Diceros bicornis minor: one gene and its partner. The main gene of each other region encodes a partner of the protein of the gene in region 2 in a complex. Links are inferred from orthologs where the notes say so. Each region holds a gene or a part of one and is shown on either strand. Other genes may lie near its edges. The genes, in order: IZUMO1R and IZUMO1.

Evidence for each region.
Region 1: the proteins of IZUMO1 (region 2) and IZUMO1R are in contact, whole or in part, in a crystal structure (PDB 5JKC), measured with the Homo sapiens proteins. The link is inferred for Diceros bicornis minor from reciprocal best matches to the Homo sapiens genes IZUMO1 and IZUMO1R. Residues at the interface, in NP_872381.2 of Homo sapiens: Met75, Val77, Tyr134, Val141, Leu146, Trp148, Lys150, Asn151, Lys153, Glu155, Val156, His157, Ala158, Arg160, Lys161, Ser162, Tyr163, Asn239, Ser240, Ser241, Pro242, Ile245; in NP_001186135.1 of Homo sapiens: Lys42, Tyr44, Glu45, Ile48, Leu58, Trp62, His65, Leu66, Asp67, Gly80, Leu81, Leu82, Met83, Pro84, Gly85, Arg87, Ile91, Met145, Ser146, Tyr147, Gln171.

Annotation. Positions count from the first base shown.
Region 1 is NC_080746.1:39,516,500-39,526,818, forward strand, and holds IZUMO1R (sperm-egg fusion protein Juno), read right to left. Parts: upstream 4,384-10,319; coding exon 4,246-4,383; intron 3,527-4,245; coding exon 3,319-3,526; intron 2,898-3,318; coding exon 2,760-2,897; intron 2,603-2,759; coding exon 2,334-2,602; 3' UTR 2,034-2,333; downstream 1-2,033. UniProt on the Homo sapiens protein: Receptor for IZUMO1 present at the cell surface of oocytes (oolemma), which is essential for species-specific gamete recognition and fertilization.
Region 2 is NC_080773.1:24,355,422-24,367,078, forward strand, and holds the start of IZUMO1 (izumo sperm-egg fusion protein 1), read right to left. Parts: upstream 4,326-11,657; 5' UTR 3,344-4,325; coding exon 3,109-3,343; intron 2,753-3,108; coding exon 2,678-2,752; exon of another isoform or gene 2,491-2,677; coding exon of another isoform or gene 2,283-2,490; coding exon 2,196-2,282; intron 1,943-2,195; coding exon 1,922-1,942; intron 1,579-1,921; coding exon 1,498-1,578; intron 1,323-1,497; coding exon 1,222-1,322; intron 957-1,221; coding exon 803-956; intron 487-802; coding exon 285-486; intron 1-284. Other genes in the region: FUT1 (galactoside alpha-(1,2)-fucosyltransferase 1), read right to left, coding at 5,800-6,912; FGF21 (fibroblast growth factor 21), read left to right, coding at 9,948-10,182, 10,342-10,445, 11,117-11,407. UniProt on the Homo sapiens protein: Essential sperm cell-surface protein required for fertilization by acting as a ligand for IZUMO1R/JUNO receptor on egg.

The DNA of each region.
Region 1 (10,319 bases), on a different chromosome or scaffold from region 2:
TTATAAGCTGGGGCTCTGGGGTCAGACTTACCTGGTTGCAAAGCTACATAGGCTTCTGATCTAATTGGAAAATGAGGAGAACAAGAGTAGCTCACAAGGCTTTTGTGAGGATCAAATGAGCTAGTGCAAGCGTGTCAGGAGCTTGGCAGAGCCCCTATGCTCAGAGTAAGTGATCAATAAATATTAATAGTTATTAGGGCTCCCAGAACTGGTCTTGTTTTGTCCACCCTAATTTTAACCCTACTTTGACTATTTTTTATATTTATACCTAAAAATACTAAAAAAAAGTCACTAAACTCAGCTTTATTATGAAGCACATACCCTCAGACACTTCATTCAGTCCTCAGTTCTTAAGAAATTTTACCTACATGTATTTTTGGGCCGGCCCTGTGGCTTAGCGGTTAAGCGCACGCGCTCCGCTGCTGGTGGCCCGGGTTCGGATCCCAGGCGTGCACCAATGCGTCGCTTCTCCAGCCATGCTGAGGCCGCGTCCCACATACAGCAACTAGAAGGATGTGCAACTATGACATGCAGCTATCTACTGGGGTTTTGGGGTGAAAAATAAATAAAATTAAAAAAATTTTACCTACATGTATTTTTGCCCCACATACAGCAACTAGCAGGATGTGCAGCTATGACATGCAGCTATCTACTGGGGTTTTGGGTGAAAAAAATAAAATAAAAAAAAAATAAATTTCACCTACATGTATTTTTGCAGCCACGATTTATTAATTTAAAAACAGTTCAAGTTCCCCCATCATATGGTTCATGCCTTGGGGAATCGGCTGGTTTTTGTCTAGTATTTCCTTTCTCTTCTCAGTGAAGTGACCCTTCTTCACCGGGAGCGCTCAAGCTTCACCTCTTTTGTGAGGTCTTCCCAGGACTCCCACCCCGGCCTAGCCCCTGTTTTCGCAGACACCCAGTGAAGTGCTTTGTCACCCCTGCTGCTGTCTGTCTCCTGCTCCAGACTCTGAGCACATCACTTGGAAGGACTCTCTTCATTTTGGAATCGGAGTGCCCACCTGTAACAGGGTTTGCTCAGTGCAAGCTCACATTCAAGGTAAGCGTGGGAGCAAGGCGGGTGGAGTTAACTGATGAGCAGGGCTGGCTGGTCTCTGGCGAGAATGAGTAATTGTTAGAAAAGCCAACCAACTGAAGTGCAGGCGTATTAGAAGCCTCTCTTTGTCAAAGAAGAGGTTGTGGGGAAAGCACCATCCATGCTGGGAAGCTGTTGGGCTTCAGTTTTGGAAGGTTCTGGGTGAGTGTGTTGGCTGCCAGTCCACTTACAGAAAGGATGTGAAGGCCACCTCCACACCCCTTCTCTGCTTCAGTTCTAACTGTTCTGTCTTATTCTTTAGGACATAGCACTGCCTGAGAAGCATAGACTATACGCCAACAAACAACGGCACTGGCTTTTTCCTTTTTCTCTTTGTTGGTCAAAATCACATGGTCCAACTACCTCATTCCCCTCAGCAGAGAGGGAAACCAAGACAGTCTTAAACAAAGGTTAAAGCACTTGCCAAAAGTCATACAGAAAGTGGTCAAGATGGATTAGAACTCTGGCTTTCAAAATTCCAGACCAGTGTGTTGTGATTCTGGGGTTAAAAGGAAGAGGGAAAGCCGAAAGCAGTTGAGGCAGCTGCTTCAATCTTGGTGTCCAAAATAGAGCCTATGGGCTGGGTGGCCCCATCCTCATCCTGGATTTGGGTCTTTTGTACGGTGTATCCCTTATTGAAAAAAAAGGAGATGTTGAAAGGACTCCCATCAGAGAGGTGTTGTGAGGATTAACAAGAGGGCCTGGCACATGTGAAGAAGTTAATTATTATTATGGTAAGTAACAGCCAACTCTGCGACTTCAGTACAGCAGGCAAACTGCCTCCCTCTTTGTGTAGCTTGACTCCTTGACCATAAAGTGAGGACGGCGTGGGTCATGCAGAGAGGAAAGGTCAACTGCCGTTTTATTGGAGGCACCGTCATGAGACAGGAGGCCAGGGCTGTCACCATCAGCTCTGCCAGGGAAGGGGGAGGGTGTATACTGGAGGAGAAGGGCCTGGAGTCCCACTTCAGAGCCCCACCATCCATAAAGGCAGGAGGGGGCAGGTCACCTTGGCCATCCAAGCCCCCAGCTACCTTCCAGGGAGGAAAAGGCAGAGCAGAGCAGTAGAGGGGGCCTAGAACCGAATGTGCAAGTTCTCAGGCACCAGCTCCTGTAGCCTCAATGTCCCACCAGCTCCCCAGCCTGTGCTGAGTCACTTAAGGAAGGGACCCAGGAAGGAGGCTGCCATGCCATAGGTGGGGGAGTGCAGGAGTGTGGGTGGGAGGAGAAGGGGCTCTCAAGAAAGGAACAACAGGAACAGAGAGAAGGCCATGAGAGTGTGGGAGAGTTCCCAGGACTGAGCAGGGCTGGCGAAGAGGCGGGCCACGGCCTCATTGGGGTTGCCATGAGCAGGCTCAAACCACTTCTGCAGACACTGACCACTGTTCCTGCGCTCAGGACTCGCCTTGAAGGAGTTGCTCCAAATCTTCTCACACAGGTCAGCCGGAGTGGGGAAGTAATGGGGGAAAGGGTGGCAGTGGGCCCTTGCAGGGCAGCGGTTCTTACCTGTGGGGGGTTGAGGCACGGACAACTTACCTTCCACTCCTGTCACCCTCGAATCCCCATCATTTGCCCTGAGGGAGCACAGGGTGCTTGCACCTGCCCCCAGGGAGGGTGCCTCCCAGGCCCTGCTTTCCCCCGTGCCCTGTCAAGTGCCACTCACCTCCACTCCAGTCCCAGCCATGATGCCAATTGGATTTGCAAGTGTAAGACGTGCGGCAGTCTTCCCACCACTGCTCACAGTCCTCCCTGCAGAGTGGCGCATCCAAAATCCGCTCTCCCTGCCTGCTTGGGTCCACCTGGGTGCAGGCACAGCAAGAGACAAGAATACTAATAGCAGCAATTTGAAGACTATGGATAGCTAGAATGGTGCTTGTGCCAGGTGCCATCTGAATATATTCTCTTATGAAGTCTTTAAGTATGATTTTACAAACGAGAACAATGAGGCTAAGAGGATGAATAGGTTTGTCTTGGGCTGCACAGCTTCTGTTCCTACATACAAAAGATGGGATTCAAATAGTCCCTCATCCTTTGTTCTCATCTAACCAGTCTCCCCCCATGTCCTTCTCCACGGCTGGAGGCTGCTTCCTCTCCAACCCTTTCCCCAACAACAGCCTCTGGCTCTGCTCTTGTCCATAGGAGGATGTATCTCCTGTTCCTGCTAGTATCCTGGAGCTCAGGCTCTTAGTAGCAGGGCATTGTATGGATGTGTCTCCTGCCTCCCCAGCCCAGTCTTCCCACCTGCTGGATCCAAGGCCCCAGGTTCGGGGAGCACTCGTAGAAGCAGACAGCTTGGAGGAAGTGCTTCTGGCAGCCCGGCATCATCAAACCACAGTGAACCAAGCTGAAGTTGTAGAGCAGGGACACATTCAGGTGGGCTTTCCAGCTGGTGTTGGCTGTACAGCAGGCATTGTCCTTCCAGGGGATGCACTGAAGGTAGAGGAAGAAGCAAAAGGTGTGTGTGTGTCGGGGGTGGGGGTGGTAAGAGGCAGGGGGTTGAAGAGTGTCTAGGGCAGAGATATAAAAATGTCCCCCACAAGAGGATGTGGGCAAGTGGGATGCCTTTAGGCTAGCATCCCCCTGTATAGAGGGAATGCTGATAACTTGTCAACATTCACACCCAAAGGGCACCTGCATGCTGACTTCCCTGCCACAGGCTGCTGCAGTCCCCTAGAAACGTGACTTCCGGGATCTCAGCTCCTGAGGGGCAGCAGAGGAGCCTCATGAGACCCAGGGGAATGTGGGGTTGCACTGGGTGGGAGGGCACCATAGCTGAGAAGGGCTCACGGGTAAATGCCAACTCTGCTCCTCCTCCCTCATCCCTGTCAATTGCCTTTAGGAGCCTGAGGAGAGGTCCCTTAAGTCACGGATTTCCCCAGGGCCTGTTGGTAGGAAGGGTGGAGAAGGAGAAGGGGAACCCCTGTTCCCCGAGTGGCCGGGCAGCTGGGAGATGGCAACTTTGAATCATTTGGCAATTATGGTCTCAAAAGGTCATAGTCCCCTCTAGTGGACTTTGCCCAAAGTCCAGCCTAAGGAACCAAATGAGTCAGGGTTGATGGGGGTTTAGAAACCATCTTGGTATTTGTGTCCCTTCCTTGATCTGCCAAAGCAGCCCCCTCCCACCTCTAGACCGGGTCTGGCCTCTGTACCTCCTCGTGGAGCTTGTCTTCTGGGCCAGGCTCTCGCTTGTGGTGCTTGGTGTTCATGCAGACATTGAGAAGCTCGTCCCCAGCCCAGAGGGGCATGACTGTCCACAGCCCTAGCAGGAGCTGCCACCAGCATGCCATGGCCTACTGCAGAGAGGAGACCCACTTGCTTACATGATAGAAAGGACACCCTGCTCCATTCCCTTCACTATCCTGGGGAGCTAGTATGGCTTCAAGGCTCCCTCAAGTGACCATGACACTCTGGCTGCTCCTAGGACCTCTGTTTGAGGCAGCATCATTAAATGTCAGGGCAGGTGGAATAAACCTGACAGGTCTGACACCTGCCCCCAACAATTGTACAGATGCAGAAACTGAAGCCCAGGGTTGGGGGAACAAACCAGCCCTAAGGTGAAGATCAAGGGTAGAATGGTTCCAGCCTTCCCTGGGGGAACTTTTCCTGACCCTTCTCCACTTGGAGGCAGCCTTTACCAACTGAGCAACTTATAGGCTGGGAACTCAGAGCTTTGATCCTGGTCCACAGCGAGCCCCCCCATGCTGGCTGAGTGACTGAACAAATGCTCAGTAACCAGATTTTACCTGGAGCAAAGGGCATGGTGGGACTGGGTAGTGTGACAAACGCAAGCCTTACCCCCTCGAGTGTCAACCCTAACTTCAGCCCCTCTGAGGGGTCCACGGAGGGCCCATAGCTCCTCAAGCAGCTGGTCCCCTCCCCAGTCCCCTCTTGCCAGAGTCCTTTCCCCTAGAGAAGTAGTTTGCTTCCAACAGCCTCAACCTATCTCAAACCCAGCCTGAGCACAAGTTGGGGCAGCCGTGCACCCAGGGGCCTTGCTGGCATGTCAGATCAGGGAGCATGCCCAGGCGTGAGTCAGATGTGAGAGCCTTCCACATCCAAAAGACAATACTTGTTATAGGAATGAGGAGACCGGCTCTTCCCTTGGTGTTTCTTGAGCACTATGTTTCCAGCTCTGGTCTAGGTAGTACTGGTAACAGGAGGGAGTGGAAAGAGAGACCAAAAAAAAAAGGGCAGAAGAGCACTCGCTTCAAGCACCTAACCCTTTAGGAAACAAGGCTCCCTCAGCCTTCACCCACCCAGGACCCCATGGCTCCCTCAGTCCTCCAGGCGTTGCAGGAACCGGCCATGGACCCATCATGGTGAAACTGAAAACCTCTGGCCTAGTCCGAGTTTAGAGCCTCAAACATCCCAGGGTGGAGACTTCAGCCCCACCTTCCCAGCCCATCCTCAACTCTAAACCTAAGTCTGCTCTCTCTCCTCGGCACCAGTTTCGAGCACAGACATGGCCATCAAGTATTTTTAGAGAATCATGTATGCCCAGTGAAAAGAAGAAAGATGCTGCCCCTTCCAGTGTGTTCTTCATACTCACTTTCAAAGCAGGAGCTGCTCCCTCGCACCGCCGGAGCTTGTGAAGCTGAGGAGAATTCTATGATCCCACCCATTTATCACCCACTCCCGTTCCTCCTAGGTCCAGGTGCAGAGGCAGAACTCCAGGTGGCTCCAGTTAAACAGCATCCCTCTTACCCAAGTGTAGAGGCCTCCTGGGGGTGGAGCCGGGAGGGTTTCCCTTTCTCAGAGCAGTGGCGACCCCAGAGTGGCTGAGATCCCGGGCTCTTTAGTCAGCTACTGAGTTCTGCTCTCAGCTCTGCTACTTGCTAGCTGGACGACCTTGAGAAAATGGCTTACACTCTGTCAGTTTCCCTATCTGTGTAAAGGGATATTATAAAGGATTGTTGGGAAAAAGAAATGAAAGTTCAGGAAAAGGACTTGGCATTGTGCCTGGCACAGAGTAAGTCTTAACGGTTTTCTTTCTTATCCTTTTATCCCGTGAAGCCTCTCTCTCTCAGCGCTGTTCCTCAGCTTCTACCTGCTCCTTCATCAGCATAGTTACCTGGGATGGGCCACCTGGTGATTGGAGCTAAGGTTCCTGCTGGGGAGCAGACCCAGCAGTACAGAGATGCCAAGATAAAGCTGGGCCTTGGGGACCCAAGAATTCAAGTGCATGACCAAAGCCAAAATAAACAAAACAACAAAGTTCCTCTACAACCCAGGAACCAGCCCCCATTAGTGTGAAGGGGCCGTTGTCCTGTGAAATATTCTACAAATGTTCTCAGCAGTGATATTCACACAGCATCCTTCTCAACTAAGGAGAGGCTAGGAGACTTGGACAGGACTTGTAGGCGAGTCCCGAACATGATGAAAATTCTGAAAAAGGAGCCTGTCTCTTTGCCTGTTTCTTATAACATGTTCTCTCTCCAAAGGAGAAGTAGCCAACATCACTGAAGTTTTATCGATACATAGGAAATTAAACCAAAACAATAAAAGCGTTAAATAAAAGTCATGCCTGATTTGTGTCATTCACAAATCAAAGTCAAATCTGCTTGTGTTGAGAGGCACGTGTCAGCTTTTTTGGGGAACAGTGATGGTCACCAGCCCTGCCTCGCATATCCCAGCCTTAAGCAGAGTGAGGAGTCTCCTTTTTAGGGTCCGATACCAAATAGTAATTACATTTCTGCAGCACAGGTCTCTTCCCACAGGTGTCCACTCAGCAGGGGACGAGCAGGTGCATGTCCTATTCGAGTCCTCACAGATACTCAGGAAGCTCTAAGTCTTGACGAGGTAAGAGTTTGGGTTTAACATTAAGTTTCAGATGGCTGTGGACATGGCAGGGACAAGAATGCTGAAATCAAGTGCAGGAGTAATTACTGACATAGAAAACATGTCCTTTGGTAAATGTCCTTCACGTGTAGGGAAGAAGGACGAGGAAGGATTTGCTAACAGTCTCTTGGACAAGGCTGTAGGAAATGAGCTGAAATTACAGCCAGCACAGGGGCAGGGGAAGCAGGCAGGGAGGGATTCTGGAGGCTGCCACTCAGAGAGCCATCAGGCTGGACAACATCTGCTCCCCAGAGGGGCAGTCTGCAGCCCGTGAAGAAAACTCATTTTTCCCTTATTGTGATTGAGTCTTCTAGAGAAATCTGTTTCCTGACTGAAAGCTGATAAACCAAAGCTGGTTGTGGATGAAGCCATTTGAAGCTGCTGATCTCAAACAATTTTGTTCTAAAAAAACAAAACAGAACACTTAAATTGCCAAGAGCAGCGCTACAGCAGCGTTCAGAGGGTTCTGAAGGGAGGGCGAGCAGCCCAGCCTCACTGGTTACGGAACATAGCACAAGGTGGGCAGTAATAATTCTCCTTCTTTCCCCTACACACGAGGTTGCCCAAGGTGCTGAAGCCCATTGAATTTGAGAACAGACTAAGACAACAAAGAACTTGTGCCAGGAATCTCCTGATGAGAAGCTGAAATCAGAGGCCAGCTGAGGGGCCATCAGTGATTCAGAGTTCTTAGTGGGTCTTATGAGTCCTTCTCCTCTCCCCCAAATCTAGTGACCATGCTTGTCTCAACTCATAATTGGTTTGTTACTAGGGCAGGTAAGACAGGGGTGTTGTTTATCCCCACCTCTTCCTTCCCTTTATATCCATCTCACCACCAAAGTGGTTGGTTTAACTTTCTGCATCTCTCTTGAATTCGGGTTCTTTTATGCCTGTTTCTCTCTTTATGCCTGTCCCAGTCATGATCATCTCTTGCTTCAATTTGTGCAACAACCTCCTAACTGGCTCGCTTGCCCCTTTCCAAATATTTATGCAAGCAGCTGCCAGAATGATCTAATTTCCCAGTACCTTATTATGAAAAATTTCAAACAAGGAAAGTTGAGAGAATTTTACAGTGAACTCCCATATACCCACCACTTAGATTTCACTGTTACCATTTTACTGTATTTTCTTTGTCACACAGCTAGCCAACCATCCAGCCTTCTAGCCAGCCATCAATCTTCTTGTTTTTCATGCGTTTCAAAGTAAATCGCAGACATCAGCATACTTCCTCCTAAATAATTCAAACGTGCGTATCATTAACCAGAGTTCAACATTTGTCTGCAGGCTTTTTTCTTTCAGAATGGTTTTATTAAAAGGTAAAGATGGTTATGATATTCCCATGTTTAAGACCCTTCTAGACTTAAAGATAAGTCCCAAATCCTTAATATGGCACACAGACCATGTTTCATCTAGTTCCGATGTCCTTTTCCATCCCAGTCAGCAGTCCTTTCTCTCATCTACGCTACAGGCATTCCTCACCCCTGATGTCTGTAATTGCTCTGCACTCTTACGTGGTTCCTCTGCCAAGCTATTCTCTCAGAACTCACCCTCCATGCCTGGTAACACCTTCTTATCCCTCAACTCCCAAACTGCTGGCTTCTGCTCAGGGAAGCTTGTGTGGTCCCCCCCAGGGTTGGAGAGATGTTCCCTCTTACTCCTGCTGTGTCATGCACTTACCGCCCCTTTGTGAATGTCTGCTTGTAGTCTCCCCTGCCTCTGGCTGGGAGCAGCTTGGGGCAGGCGCAGTGCCCGATCTGGTAGGCCTGGTCAGTACATGTTTGTAGAGTAAATAAGGAGAAATACCTGAGTAGAATAAACTGCATTTTTTACAAACATTGTTTTAATTCAGACAGGTCCCTAGTTTAACCTGACCTATCCCCTCTCCTTGCCCTCCCTCTTCCTTCTCTTCCCCCTCTTCCTTCCTCCCCCTTATCCTAGCCTCACCTATCTTTCTTCTCTAGTTTAAAATGAACTCTCTTGTCTCTCCTTCCTGCTCCATCCTTCTCACCCCCTTCATCTTTCTCACATCCCTCCATCCTTCTTGCCCCTCTCCATCCTTCTTGCTTTCCCTCCCTTTAACCCCTCTCTATCCTTCTCAGTCTTCTTCTCACCCCCCTCTATCCTTCTCACCCTCCTCTATCCTTCTCACCCTCCATCTTTCTCTCCCCTCAATCCTTTTTACCCCCATCCTTCTTGTCCCCCTCCATCCTTCTCACTCCCCTTCCTATATTTCCCCTTCTCCCCTGGCTCATCTCTCTCCCCTCCCTCCTCTCTTTCTTTCCTCTCCTTTCTCTCTTCTTGATTCTATCCTTACCTATCCTTCTCCCTCTAGTTTAACCTCTTTATTTTCTCTTCCCTATCCCCTCTCCTTACCCTTCTCCTCTGTCCTCTCCCTCTCCTCTCTCTCTCTCTCCCCTCACACTTCCCTCTCCCTTCCAATTTTCTCCCTCAGTCTCAGACTTTCAGCCTGGAACATCTTTAGTTTCTGATGATTTCCGTGACATTTCGGAGTGTTAATGCTGGGGCCTTTCATCACCACTTGAAGAAGGCCAATTTTAGTTTTAATCACAGCAGAGGAAATGACTGTGAAGCTTATCCGGTGTTGATGAGAGTCTAACTTAGGGGAGATAGAAAATATCAAAGTCCTATGGGAAAGAGATTAGCTGAAAACCAGAGAGGGGAGAAAGGTGTAACACAAAGAACACAGAGCTTTACTGTCCTGATTACTTTTCTCGCAGCTTGCTAGCTCCTTCTGTCTTCACAAAGTTTCCCTGGTGCCAGTATCCCATTGTTACCTTTAAACCAAGCTGCTGCTGGGTCTACCCGACAATGTTAATAACAAGTAACTGTGATTTGTATGCAGGTTTACAATGTGTATCTGAGCTCAATAAAGTTTTTCTTTCAATCTTCCCAACATCCCTCCCTCCAACTATCCCTTGATCCAAAGTTCCATGCCAGCTACCAACCCATCTCTCCCTCTTCCCAGCCATGCTTCCTGAAAGACCTGTGTATGCTCATTGTGGCTCTTCTGTGTCACCTCACATTAATTCATCAACCATTGCTATTCAGCTTCTACTCACCACCCCACGGAATCCACTCTTGCCAAATTCACCCACAACCTCCAAATTGTTCTATCCAATGGGAACGATCAGTCCATATCCTACTAGACCTCTCAGCTGCCGTTGACCAAGGTAATCCTTCCTGCCTTCTTGAAACTCGCCTCTTCCTTGATTCCCAGGGCTCTATTCTGTCCTGGTTTTCCTCCTACATCTCAACTTGTTCCTTCTCAGTCTCCTTGGTAGACTCCATTTCCTCCATCTGCCATTTAAGTGTTTTCTTGAGCTCTGTCCTTGGGCCTCTTTTCTTCTTACTGTACATACTCTCTCTG
Region 2 (11,657 bases):
CAAACAGCGGAACCAGGTGAGGTCCTAACCGAGTGAGGGATACCCCTCCCAGCCTCCCGATATCTGACCTCGTTCTAGTAATTATCCAAGCTTCGCCCCCCCCCCGGTAAGCCCCGCCCCGTTTTCTAAGCCCCGCCCCGTTTTCTAAGCCCCGCCCCGTTTTCTAAGCCCCATCCCCAATGGAAGTCCAGCTCAGAGCACCGTAGCTCCCAGAAACCCCGCTGCGTTAGGTTTTTGGAAGCGCCGCCCCGCACTCCAAGCCCTGCCTTCAGTGGGCGGCTCACACGGTCGCGACGCAGGCTATTAGCACCACAGAGCCCCAGATCAGCAGCCCTATCAGGCGCCCTCGCAGCATCTTCACGGGATTCAGCGACAGTGACGGCGGAGATTGCAGGGTTGTGGGCGACTGGGGGCGAGCCAAGGTCACCTCACCCTGGGTTGGGACGCCTGGTAACGGTATCTCCTCCTCAATTCTTTTGGGCAACACTGATAGAAGAGGAGGAAGGAGCCGTCCTGGGAGGGCGCGAAGGTCCCGCCGTGGCCAAGGCAGGCCCTCCCCACCTCAACCCGCCGCAGGACCCAGGCCCTCCAGGAGATAATCACGCCTCCGACTGCGTGAAGCCGGAACCCTGAGGGGAACACTGCCACCATGGCCAGAGGCCACACCCAGGGCGGGAAGCCACACTCCGAAACCACACCCCAACGGGAAGTTAAGCCCCATAGGCCGCCCCCCTGAAATTGACAGCCCCCACCCCAGGACCTTGAATCCCACCCACACTTCTCTCAGCTCCCCTGTGCTGACCTGTGACGTGAAAATGGATGACCGTGGCTGGGCCGGACCTCACGGTGCCCAGCTCGCAGCGGTAGGTGCCTTCATCCTCTGGACCCACCATGGTCTTGGTCAGGGTGGGCTCTTTCCCCTTGGACACCAAGGTCTCAGCATTGTTCCCCCAAACCTAGACCCAAGCTCAAGGGGTCACAGAGGCCTGGGGAATTCAGGGGTCGGGGGAGTCCAGGGGTGAGAAGATCACAGGCCCTCGGTGTGGGAGATGGGAGTCCAGGGTGTACTGGTCGGGGCATGGGGTCCCCGGGGGGTCAGTAGAAGCCAAACTTGGTGGGCCATGGGTCATGGGGGCGCAGGCGTGTGGATACAGGGACCAGGGGGCTCACACGGCCTGATGGACTTGGAGTTCAAGGGTTACAGGAGTTGGAGGGCCCCACCCTGTAAAAGCTGTAATCGGTCAGGCCTTGAGACACTTGATGCCAGTTGAGGTGACAGTCCAGGATCATGTCTTCCATTTGATGGACCTTGACCTTGCGCTCTGGGGATGGGGGGGTCACTGTGAGATTCTTGGCCCTTCCCCCACCCCCTTCCACTCGGTCTCGGCCCGCCTCTTCTTGTCTGCTGGCTCCAGCATCCGGCCCCTCTAGACTCAGTCTCTCCTCTGGCTCCGCCCCTCTCACGCCCACACCTCCTGCTGGGCCCAGCTCTCTCACCCCCGCAATCCAAGGACTTGCGACAAGCGTGAACCTGCTTCTCGCAGTTACTGCACCAGATCATAGTCTGCAACATCATACCTGAGGGGGCAGGGTCAAGACTGTGTTCACCTACTAAGAGGAGGGGCTAAAAGAAGAGGGCAGGGCCAAGGGCTGGGGCGCGGTCCTGTGCCGGATCCCTAGGAGGTCAGCCCGAGGGGCGGGGCTCGAACGCAGCCCTGTAGGAAGGCTCAGCGAAGAGCGCAAATAGAATGTGACTCGCTCCCCAAGAACTCAGAAGCGCGGAAGGAATCCTGGAGACCCAGGAACCTCTTAGACGCGGAGAATGAAGAAACCCCGAGACCCAAACGGGGGAGGCGAAAGGCTGGGTATTCACGGGGCAGGGATGAGGCATAGAGGACCAGCTCCCATAATCCGGACTCACCACATTTGTTGGGACAAAAAGCTGCCTCCGGAGAAAGAAAAAAAATGAGAATCAGATTTCTAAGTTAAAGGGGATGACAGAGGGGGTGAAGGAAGAGGCTGGGAGCTCTTGGGTTTGAGGGAGGAAGGACCTGGGTGCCTGGACCCCTGGGTCTGAGGGAGGAGGGGGTTGTGAGAGCTGAGGGACCAGACTTGGAGAAGCAAGGGGCTGGGGACAGGGACTCTTGGACTGTGGAGGGAGGAGGCTGGGTTGCTGGGGTCCCATTTTCCCTCACCCTCTTTTTGGAACTGAGCAGCGTAGCTGGCAAAGTTGTCCTTTTCCAGGCTCAACATCCAGAACAGCTCCTTCACGAAGAGCTCACCTGGGAAGAAGCAGGATGACGCGGAGTGGGTCCACCCCCCACCCCTTCCCAGGTGTGAGGTACAGGAAGTTTGCCTCTGTCTGCAGAGCCTGGCATTCTGCTTTCGGGCATTCTCAGGGAAGAAGAGTGAAATTGAATGACCACTTAACATAATACTGGCCACTTGACTAAGCAACAACTGGGATGAAGACACTGTTATGGTCTCCATTTTTAGAGGTGAGGAAGCTGCGAAATCCCTCGCTCAAGGCCATACAGCTGGAAAGTGGCAGAGCCAGAATTTGAACGTTGGCAGTCTGGCTCCGGAGCCCGGTATCTGACCACCAGACCAGGCGCCACTAGCGATTACTTCCCTGAGAGATTCTGGAGCCCCTCCCCTGGCAGCTCTGTGCATTTACCTTTTACATCACTGTCCGTGATGCGTTTCAGATCCTTCAGGAAACTCCAGGATGCCTTTTTCAGTGTGGGCTCATCTGTGGGGGGAGATAGAACACCAGATTTCAGCGTTACTGGAGTCTCATTGGCTCTCCTAGTCTTAGAAACTACAATACCCATGGGTCCACTGGGCAAGAATAGGCCTGGTTAAGGGGGTTACCCGCCCGTTGCCTTCTGGGAGTTGTAGTTTTCTTTGCATAAAATTACAGGATAAGGGGTACGAGAACACGATATCCGCTGGCCCTGGGGAACCCCGGAATCTGGGTCCCACCCTTCTCCATTTCCGAACCCAGGAGACTCCGCCTCCAGCTCTTTCCCCCCTGGACCCAGCAATTCTGGCCCCAGACCCCTCCTTTCCCAGGTCCCAAAAGTCCGCGCTCCGCCCTGCCCTCACCGACGACCCCCATATAGGAATCCTCGTCAAACGGCAGTTCCTTGAAATCCTGCACGGCTTGCTTTACCCTTTTCATCACGTTTTTGTGATGCTTGGGCTCCAGGTGGCCAGGCAGGTAATCCTTCTCCAAGGAGTTTAGCGCCTCCACGACCTCTGAATCACACATGACACAGCCTCGGGCAGGAAGCAGACAGCCGGCCAGCGCGACCACCAGGAGGGGAAGTCGTGGCCCCATCGCGGCCAGAGCGCGCAGAGCCGGGGGGTGGGGGGTGGTTCTCTCACCCCAAACCGAGAGGAGGTGAGAGCCAAACCGAGAGAAGCCCCTCCCCGAGACTAACGGACCCCGCGTTTGCAGGGCTCACCCTTCTCTTTAGGAAACCGAGAAGTCCCGATGCACCCTAAACAACCGCTGCCCGACCTTGACTCCTGACTGTTGTACCCTCAAACACTAGGGTTCGCTGAAGAGCCGAGTCCAAGTTCCGAGGGCTTTTAAGAGAAGGCGACGGGGCCACGTCCTTCCAATCTAATATTTTCCCACGACTAAAATTAAGGATCTTGTTGGGGGCGAGGATGAGGATGGTTGCATGGTATAGGGGGCTTTTGACTGGGGTCAGAGTCACGGTTCGCTCCTATCTACAGGGAACTCCCACAGCCTCCGCCTTCTAGCTTCCCACGAGGGGCCCAATTCCCTAGACATATTCCCTGGGGTTTCCTTGGCCCCGCCCAGAAGCCCAACTCTGAATCTGATTGGACTCCAACAAAAGGAGGCCCCGCCTATCGCTCTGATGTCACAGAGGCGGCCGTCTTTTCAGACTAGAACTTTCCCAGCATCTACAGAAAGGGAAGTACCGTGTCTGCTCTAGCTTTCCAGGGCCAAGGAACTGGCTTCTGACCTTCAGCTTCCTCCCCTCCCTGGGCCCAGGACCGAGGCTTCCGGCTAGATGCCCACTGCCCTTTGGAAACCCTGGCGTCGAGCCACAAAGACGAGGGACGTGGCCCTTTCTAGCCCTAGGACTACGACTCCCAGAAGGCCTCGGGGTCTCTCCCTAGCTGATTACCGCAGCCAACCCCATAGCTTTATGGGAAATGTAGTTCAAGAATTACACTCTGGCCCACTCCCTCCACTTTCTCTCCCGTTTCTGGGACCGGGCGCCAAGGCCTCAGAGGAAGAGAGGTCTGGGGGCCAATACTGAGTCCCGAAGAAAAGAACTGGGGCTCAGAGACCACAGCTCACACAAGTCCGGCAACAAGAGGCTGCCAGATCTGAGCAGAGACAATACCCCAAGACATGAGTCATGACAGTCCCCGGAAGTTCCCCACTTTTCATCCTACTCACTCACACACACACTCGGGCACACAAGACTCCAAAAGAAATTGCAGACACGGGTTGGTGAGGTGGACTTTTAATTCATATCTCCCACTCTCCCACCTATGGCAGCTGAGTAGGGAATGGTCCCCCAACACTCCCTGAGAAGACTAGAAAAGGGGCTTAGATTCTTAGACAACTGTGATAAAGTATCTACCTTTACCCCCTTCAAAAAGCACCAAGGGGCTCCTGAAATCTGAGTCAAGAATCCCAATCTCCTTGGCCAGACCCCTCCTGGCTGTGTCTGAGGCCAATCCCGGGTCTGCATCCCTTCAGACCCTTTCATCTCCGACTTGCCCAAAGCCAGATTTAGTGGCTCTGTGAATTCAGGGGCAGACGATGATTGCCAAGGGGAACAACTCCTGCAGCTTTCTGCAAGCCCAGAGGGCACGTTTATGCCAGCTGACTTCCAGAAAGTTCCAGAAAATCGATCCCATCACCCCCAGCAGCCCAGCTTAATTGGGAAGAGACAACCCGAACTCGGAGCCAAGATGTGCAGTGCCTGTCTTTGGCAGTTTTTGAGCTTAAAAAAAAAAGTGTCCCTGGATTTCTGGAAGCCTTGCTCCAAAAGCTGCAGTACTTCAGCAAGACAGCCCTCTTCCCCACTTCCCACCTTTTAAGTCTATCTGCTCCCCAAAAAAGTCTTTGTGGTTTTTTCAGGTGCTGAGAGGTGGGATAGAGTTCCGCTCTGCTCACACACTTCTGCAGCTACTGAGAGACTGTCTTCTATCAATCTTTCTGGCAGTGGTGACATGTTGAGCTTCTGGTAGTACCTTCATTAGATTCTTCGCTGAAGTCATCTGGAATTCCAGAACCCCATCCCCTCTGGAAGGGCCCTGCAGGCTTCTTCACAGGCATTAGAACTGGCCCTCTCTAAAGCAAGTCCTCCCCTCTAAAATCACCCCAGAAACACAGAAAGGGAGTTGGTGAGTGCTTCCTCTAGAACCACCCGAGTTCCTTCAGTCCTGAGGATCCAGGGGAGGAGAAACATCTCTTCTAGAAAAGACCAGGATGGTCAACTAGAGGGGGGAGTTCCCCGTTCCTGGGGGGCAGTCATCTAGAAGTACTCTGGATATGGGCTTGAAGAGCAGGTGGGCACTGTGCCTTCTAGAACTGCCAGGAGCTTCTCCAGACATTGCCAGCCATCAGGAAAAAGATCTTCTGATGGTTCTAGAACATTCAGGCAGTTGCAGAAAGCCCCCCTTTCTTTCAAATTCTAGCCAACTAGAATCACTCTAGAAGTGGGTACCCACCTGCTGCAGGACCACAACCTTCTCCAGAAGCTGCTAGGCCTCCAGAGAAGCACAATGCTGGCCCTTGATCAATCAGGCTATTCCAGGAAGTCTCCCTGCCAGTGTCTGGAGTGGAGACAAGTCTGCATTAATGCCCACCCACTCAGGCAGGAAGGCAGCCTCAGGTTTAAAGATCTTCAGGAAGTTGGAGTCGGGCAGGGTGAAGTTGGCCAGGTAGACAGTGTCTCCACCAGCCAGGTAGGCAGCCCAGAAGCCGAAGGTGCCAATAGTCATGATGGTGTGGTTGCACTGCATGAGCAGCGCAAAGTCCTTCCCCGGTGAGCCCTCCTGCCCATTGCCAGCAAAGATCACATCCCCCCGGGAGGTGTCAATGTTTTCCCGGCACCACCCCATGCCGTTGCTGGTGACCACGAAGATGGGGGCTTCATGCCGCTCCCGGAACCAGTCCATAGCCTGCTGGAGGTAGGCGCGATCGCCCACCACACCCTTCCAGCGCTGGGGCATAACCTGCAGATAGTCCCCACGGCGCACGTGGACACCCACAAAGGTGCTCGGGCGGCCCCCCGTGCGGCCCAGGTGGAGCTGACTCAGTAAAGCCTGGGCCTCTTGCCGAAGGTGGTCATGCAAGGTGAACTCGCTGCGGATCTGTTCTCGGAGATGGTGGAAGAAGGTCCAGGAACAGGGGAAGCCAGTGAACTTCAGCAAGGGCTCCTTCAAGCGGGCATACTCCTCCGACATCCAGTCATGCAGCTCCAACTCTCGCCAAGCCGTGTGGCGGTCCACCTCGGGCGCCAGCACAGGCAGGGTGATGCGGAACACGGGGGCCAGGGCGGCGTGCATGGCGGGCAGGATGAAGGCCTGGCGGCCGTTGAGCTGGGCCAGGGCCAGCAGCGTGGCATACTGCCCCATCTGGTTACCAAACCGGCCATCTGGGTAGATGGTCCAGGTTCCTGTGAGGGAGGCAGGCTGCTCCGGACAGGAAAGGGAGGTGTTGGAGGTCATTGGCGTGCCCGACAGGCATAAGATGGACACACGAGATGTCACCACGCGGCGGTCTGGACACAGGGCAAACAGGTCTACACCACTGTGAAAGAGGTCTTGGTGGACGTGGAGGAAGAAGACTGACGAAAGAACACAGACTAGCAGGAAGGTCAGACAGAGATGACGTGGGCTAGGGGCCCACATGGCTGCAGGGGAGGAAAGGTGAATTAGCAGGTGCTCAGAGCCTGAGACACAATGAGGAAACTAAGGTTTCGGCCCCCTGGGTCTGAGAGAAAGGGGGATCAGGGTCCAGGACTCCTGGATCTGAGAGAGGAGAAGCTGGGGGCTTGCAATTTCAGGGGATGAGGATGGGAGATGGTGATAAATTGGTGGTTTCCTAGACAGCAGTGGTCCAGGATCCAGCTCCTCATCCCCACATCTTGGAATCTCGCTCTCCAGGCCTGGAAGGGCCACTGAAGTTGGACCAATGTTCCACCAACTCCTTTCCCAGGTGTATGAGGGGCAGAGTCCACCACCGAGGTGACCAGGAGCAACAGGCCAAGAGGAACATGTGAGGCTGTAGGCCCAGGACTGGATGAGGGATCTTGGTCCCTGGAGGAGCAGGAGTGGGGAGTGGGGGTGGGGAGACTCCTCCGGTTGCACGGGGTTAGGAGTTGGGCGGACTGAAGGCCCCGATTGCTGGGTCCGAGGCATCCGCAGTTCTCACTCACCTGAGCTCCTGGCGGGTGGCAGATCCACAGACGGCCTGGCGTGGCTGGAGCGCACGGTCTGGAAGTGCGGCCCACATCCGGCCGTCCCCGGAACCCCGGACTCCAGGTTCCCAGGCCCAGCAGCCCTCCCCTCCACGCCGCCTCCCGGGACTGGCTGCAAGGGCTCGGGGAGGGGAGGATGGAGACGGGGGCGCGGTCCGGAATTCACAGCCTCCGCCCCTCCTGGGCTGCCTCGCAGGTAGCTCCTAGGCGGAGCCCCGCCCCTTCCCTGGCGAGGAGTCCTGGCGCCCGGGGCTAGGGTGGTAGCCCCCGCCTTCTGCCCCCACCACCACGCCCCCAGACCCGGGGACCGCGACCCAGCCCCCTCCTCCCCGGCACTGGCCAGAGAGGAGGCTCCGCCCGGGGCAGCCTACCTGGCCTCCTAGCAGCCGCATCCTTCCGTGGACATGGAGATCTAGCGCCCAGCTGCAATGCTGGACCTAGGCGTTCTGGTCTGTCGATCTCTCTCCCTTCCCCTCCGGTGCCTGGGTCTGCACTGTGTACCTGGATGCACACAGCCCGGCCACGCCCCAGCCGCTGGGAAGGGCTGGAACACCAGGTCCCGGCGGGGAGGGAGATCCTCCTCCCCTGCCGCAGCCTCCCGTTGGAGATGGAGAACCTGTTTCGCCAGGCTGCTCCAGGAGCGCCTGGACAGCCTCTTCCAGCTCTCAGGGTCCCAGGCGTGGGAGCCTCCAGCCTGAAGGTGTCCCCGCGCCCACCAAGGGCAGCTGATCCCCATATCCGCCCCGTCCACTCGCAAATTCGGGCCCCAGCCTCTCCTTTTGGGGGATTCTAGGGTCTGGCGCCTGACTACTGCTTTCTAGACCGGCACGTGGCGAAGGCAGCCTTTGTCGAGGAGGGGAATGAAGAAAGCTGGAGTGGAAGAGAGTGTGTCTTCCCTGCCTCCCGCTGAGGGCGCGGCTGCTGGCGCAGAACAAAGGCCTCTGCTCCCCTGCAGACCTGAAGCTGTTTCTACTGCGGAAGGCGGCTCCCCCCTCCACCCACCCGGCCGAGCTGTCTGACCATTGTCATTCAATAAATCAAAGTCAAAGACTCAGGAATTCGACCTAACGCTTCAGAGACTTGACCACAATTTCTCCAGACCCAGAAATCCCAGCCCCCAGCCCCTCCTCCCTCAGACCCGGGAGTCCAGCCCCCAGCCCCTCCTCCTTCAGACCCGGGAGTCCAGCCCCCAGCCCCCTCCTCCCTCAGACCCGAGTGTCCAGTCCCTGCACCCGTAGGTTTCAGGAAATTGCCCACACCGCATTCCCTTTGGGCTCCCTCAGCCCCCTCAAGAGTCTGGCTCTGCTGCCAACTCTGAGTCAGAGACTTTTATCCTCCCCGCCCCCACTCCCACGCTATTTTTGGAGCGCCTGTTTGGGCCTGCCGTAGCTTCTCTGGTGAAAGAAACACCAGGATTACATCAGGGAGGAGGAGGCGGCCTGGACCTTGGGTGTCTGGGCAGGGGTTAGTGACGTTGAGGTTGGCTTGAGGTCAGGCGAGAGGCTAAAGGCCAGGACACCTGTGTCCCTGTGCAGGATGCTTTGTCATGTGGCAGTTGGTGCTTTCCTGATGATCAAGGAACCTCAGTGACCCCCAGAAACCTAGAAATTCAGGTGGAATGCAGAAATTCCAGTGGTGGGACACAGTCTGCATCAGTCAGCCAGGGAGGCGGTTTTCCAACATTCCAGACCCTCCTCCCTCAGACTCAAGAGTGGGGCCCCGAGCCCCTCCTCCCTCAGATCCCAGAGTCCAGCCCCAGCCCCTCATCCCTCAAACTCAGGAGTCCAGACCCCCAGCCCCTCCTCCCTCAGACCCAGGAGTCCAGGGCCCCCAGCCCTTCCTCCCTCAGACCCAGGAGTCTGGGCCCCAGCCCCTCCTCCCTCAGACCCAGGACTCTGGGCCCCCAGCCCCTCCTCCCTCGGACCCAGGGGTCCAGACCCAGCCCCTCCTTCCTCAGACCCCGGAGTGCAGACCTGCAGCCCCTCCTCCCTCAGACCCAGGGGTCCGGGCCCCCAGCCCCTCCTCCCTCAGACCCAGGGGTCCAGGCCCCCAGCCCCTCATCCCCCAGACCTGGGAGTCCAGGCCCCCAACCCCCTCCTCCCCCAGACTCAGGAGTCCAGGCCCCTAGCTGGAAGGACCCCCTGATTGCATCATCCGTTCAGGCTGACCTGGCCACGGTAGAGTCCTAGCTACCGCCAAGTGGGTCAAATATCATGGGTCAGGCATGGGGAAGGTGATTGGGCAGGTCTGTCAGGATATAAATTCCCGAGCTTCTGCATCCATCCCAAGAGACTTGGCTGTCCTCTCAGCTGGGAGTCCACATGCGAGAGGACCCAGGCACTTGGGCTCTCTGAGCAGCAATCCGTGAATCTGCTTTCCCAGACCACCAGGATCTGAAACAGAATCTAGACCATTCAGCTCTTCAAATCCTAGACCCCAGACCTCGCCTGAGGACGTGAGCCATTGATGGACTGGAACAAGGCCGGGTTGGAGCACCCAGGACTGTGGGTCCCTGTGCTGGCTGTCTTTCTACTGGGAGCCTGCCAGGCACACCCCATCCCTGACTCCAGCCCCCTCCTCCAATTCGGGGGCCAAGTCCGGCTGCGTTATCTCTACACAGACGACGCCCAGGAGACAGAGGCCCACCTGGAGATCAGGGCTGATGGCACAGTGGCAGGGGCTGCCCACCGGAGCCCTGAAAGTGAGTGTGGGGGCAGGGCCTAGTCCTGAGGGAGGAGGGGCTGGGGGCCTGGACTCCTGGGTCAGAGGGAGGAGGGGCTGGAAGCCTGGACCTCTGGGTCTGAGGGAGGAGGGGGCTGGGAAAAGGCCCTGTGAATCCCTGACCAATCTCTCCGCTCAGGTCTCTTGGAGCTGAAAGCCTTGAAGCCAGGAGTCATACAAATCTTGGGAGTCAAGACATCCAGGTTTCTGTGCCAGGGGCCAGATGGGACGCTGTATGGATCGGTGAGTCTCCGGGACCCCCCTCCTTGCACTCCACCCTTCCTCCAATCATCTTCACAATCTGGGGTAGCACATCTTGCACCTGTGGCCCCAGGCCAGGCTTGGTTGGTTCTACACTCTCTGCATGCCCCAACCTCACCGAAAGCCCTGGAGGTGGGAGCCGTTGTTAGCGACGTTTGCGAGAAGAGGAAACCGAGGCTCAGGCAGATCCAGGACCAGCCCTGAGTCACGAGGCCTGCGAATGGCAGAGTGGCCTGAGAGGCCAAGTCTTGTGACTAGTAACCCCTGCTGACCACACGGGTTCCTGTGGGCCTGGCTCATCCTGGACGTGGGGTCACTCAGGGAACCCATGGCCTGTAGAGGGACCAAGACCTTGGGTGGCAGCCAAATGCCTCTGCTTGACCTTAGCCTTGACCTGTCCCTGGGCTGGAATGTTCCTCTTTTTGAAGTGGGGGCAGGAAGGTGGGCCTTAAAGAGGCATGAAAGAGAAGCCTGATTCTGTGGTGTCCTGGAGGAGGGGCTGGGGCCTGGACCCTGAGTCTGAGGGAGGAGGGGCTGGGTGCCTGGACTCCTGGCTCTGGGAGAGGATAGGGTGGGGGCCTAGACCCCTGGGTCCTGCAGCAGGAGGGCGTAGAGGAATCTCATGTCTCTGATCTCTGCTCTTGTCCACTCAGCTCCACTTCAACCCCGCGGCCTGCAGCTTCCGGGAGCTGCTCCTTGAGGACGGCTACAACGTCTACCAGTCCGAAGCCCTTGGCCTCCCGCTCCGCCTGCCCCCCCACAGCTCCCCACACCGGGATCCAGCCCCTCGGGGACCTGCCCGCTTCCTGCCGCTGCCAGGCCTGCCCCCAGCGCCCCCGGAGCCTCCAGGGATCCTGGCTCCCGAGCCTCCAGACGTGGGCTCCTCAGACCCCCTGAGCATGGTGGGGCCTTCACACGGCCGAAGCCCCAGCTACGCCTCCTAAAGCCACAGGCTGTTTGTCGTTGGGTCTCCTCTTTATTTATTGGGTTATTTATCTTATTTATTTTTTTATTTTTCTTACTTGGGATAATAAAGAGTCTGAGAGGAGGATCAGAGTGAGCACGCGTGAGTGTTTGAGGGAGAAAATTGTGTCTTCCTCCTTGTCTCCCATTGACCCCCAAAGGCCCTCTGCCCCCCGTTGCTGTAAGGCTGCGAGAGGGTCCCAGCCTACCCCTGGGCCTCAGTTTTCTGTT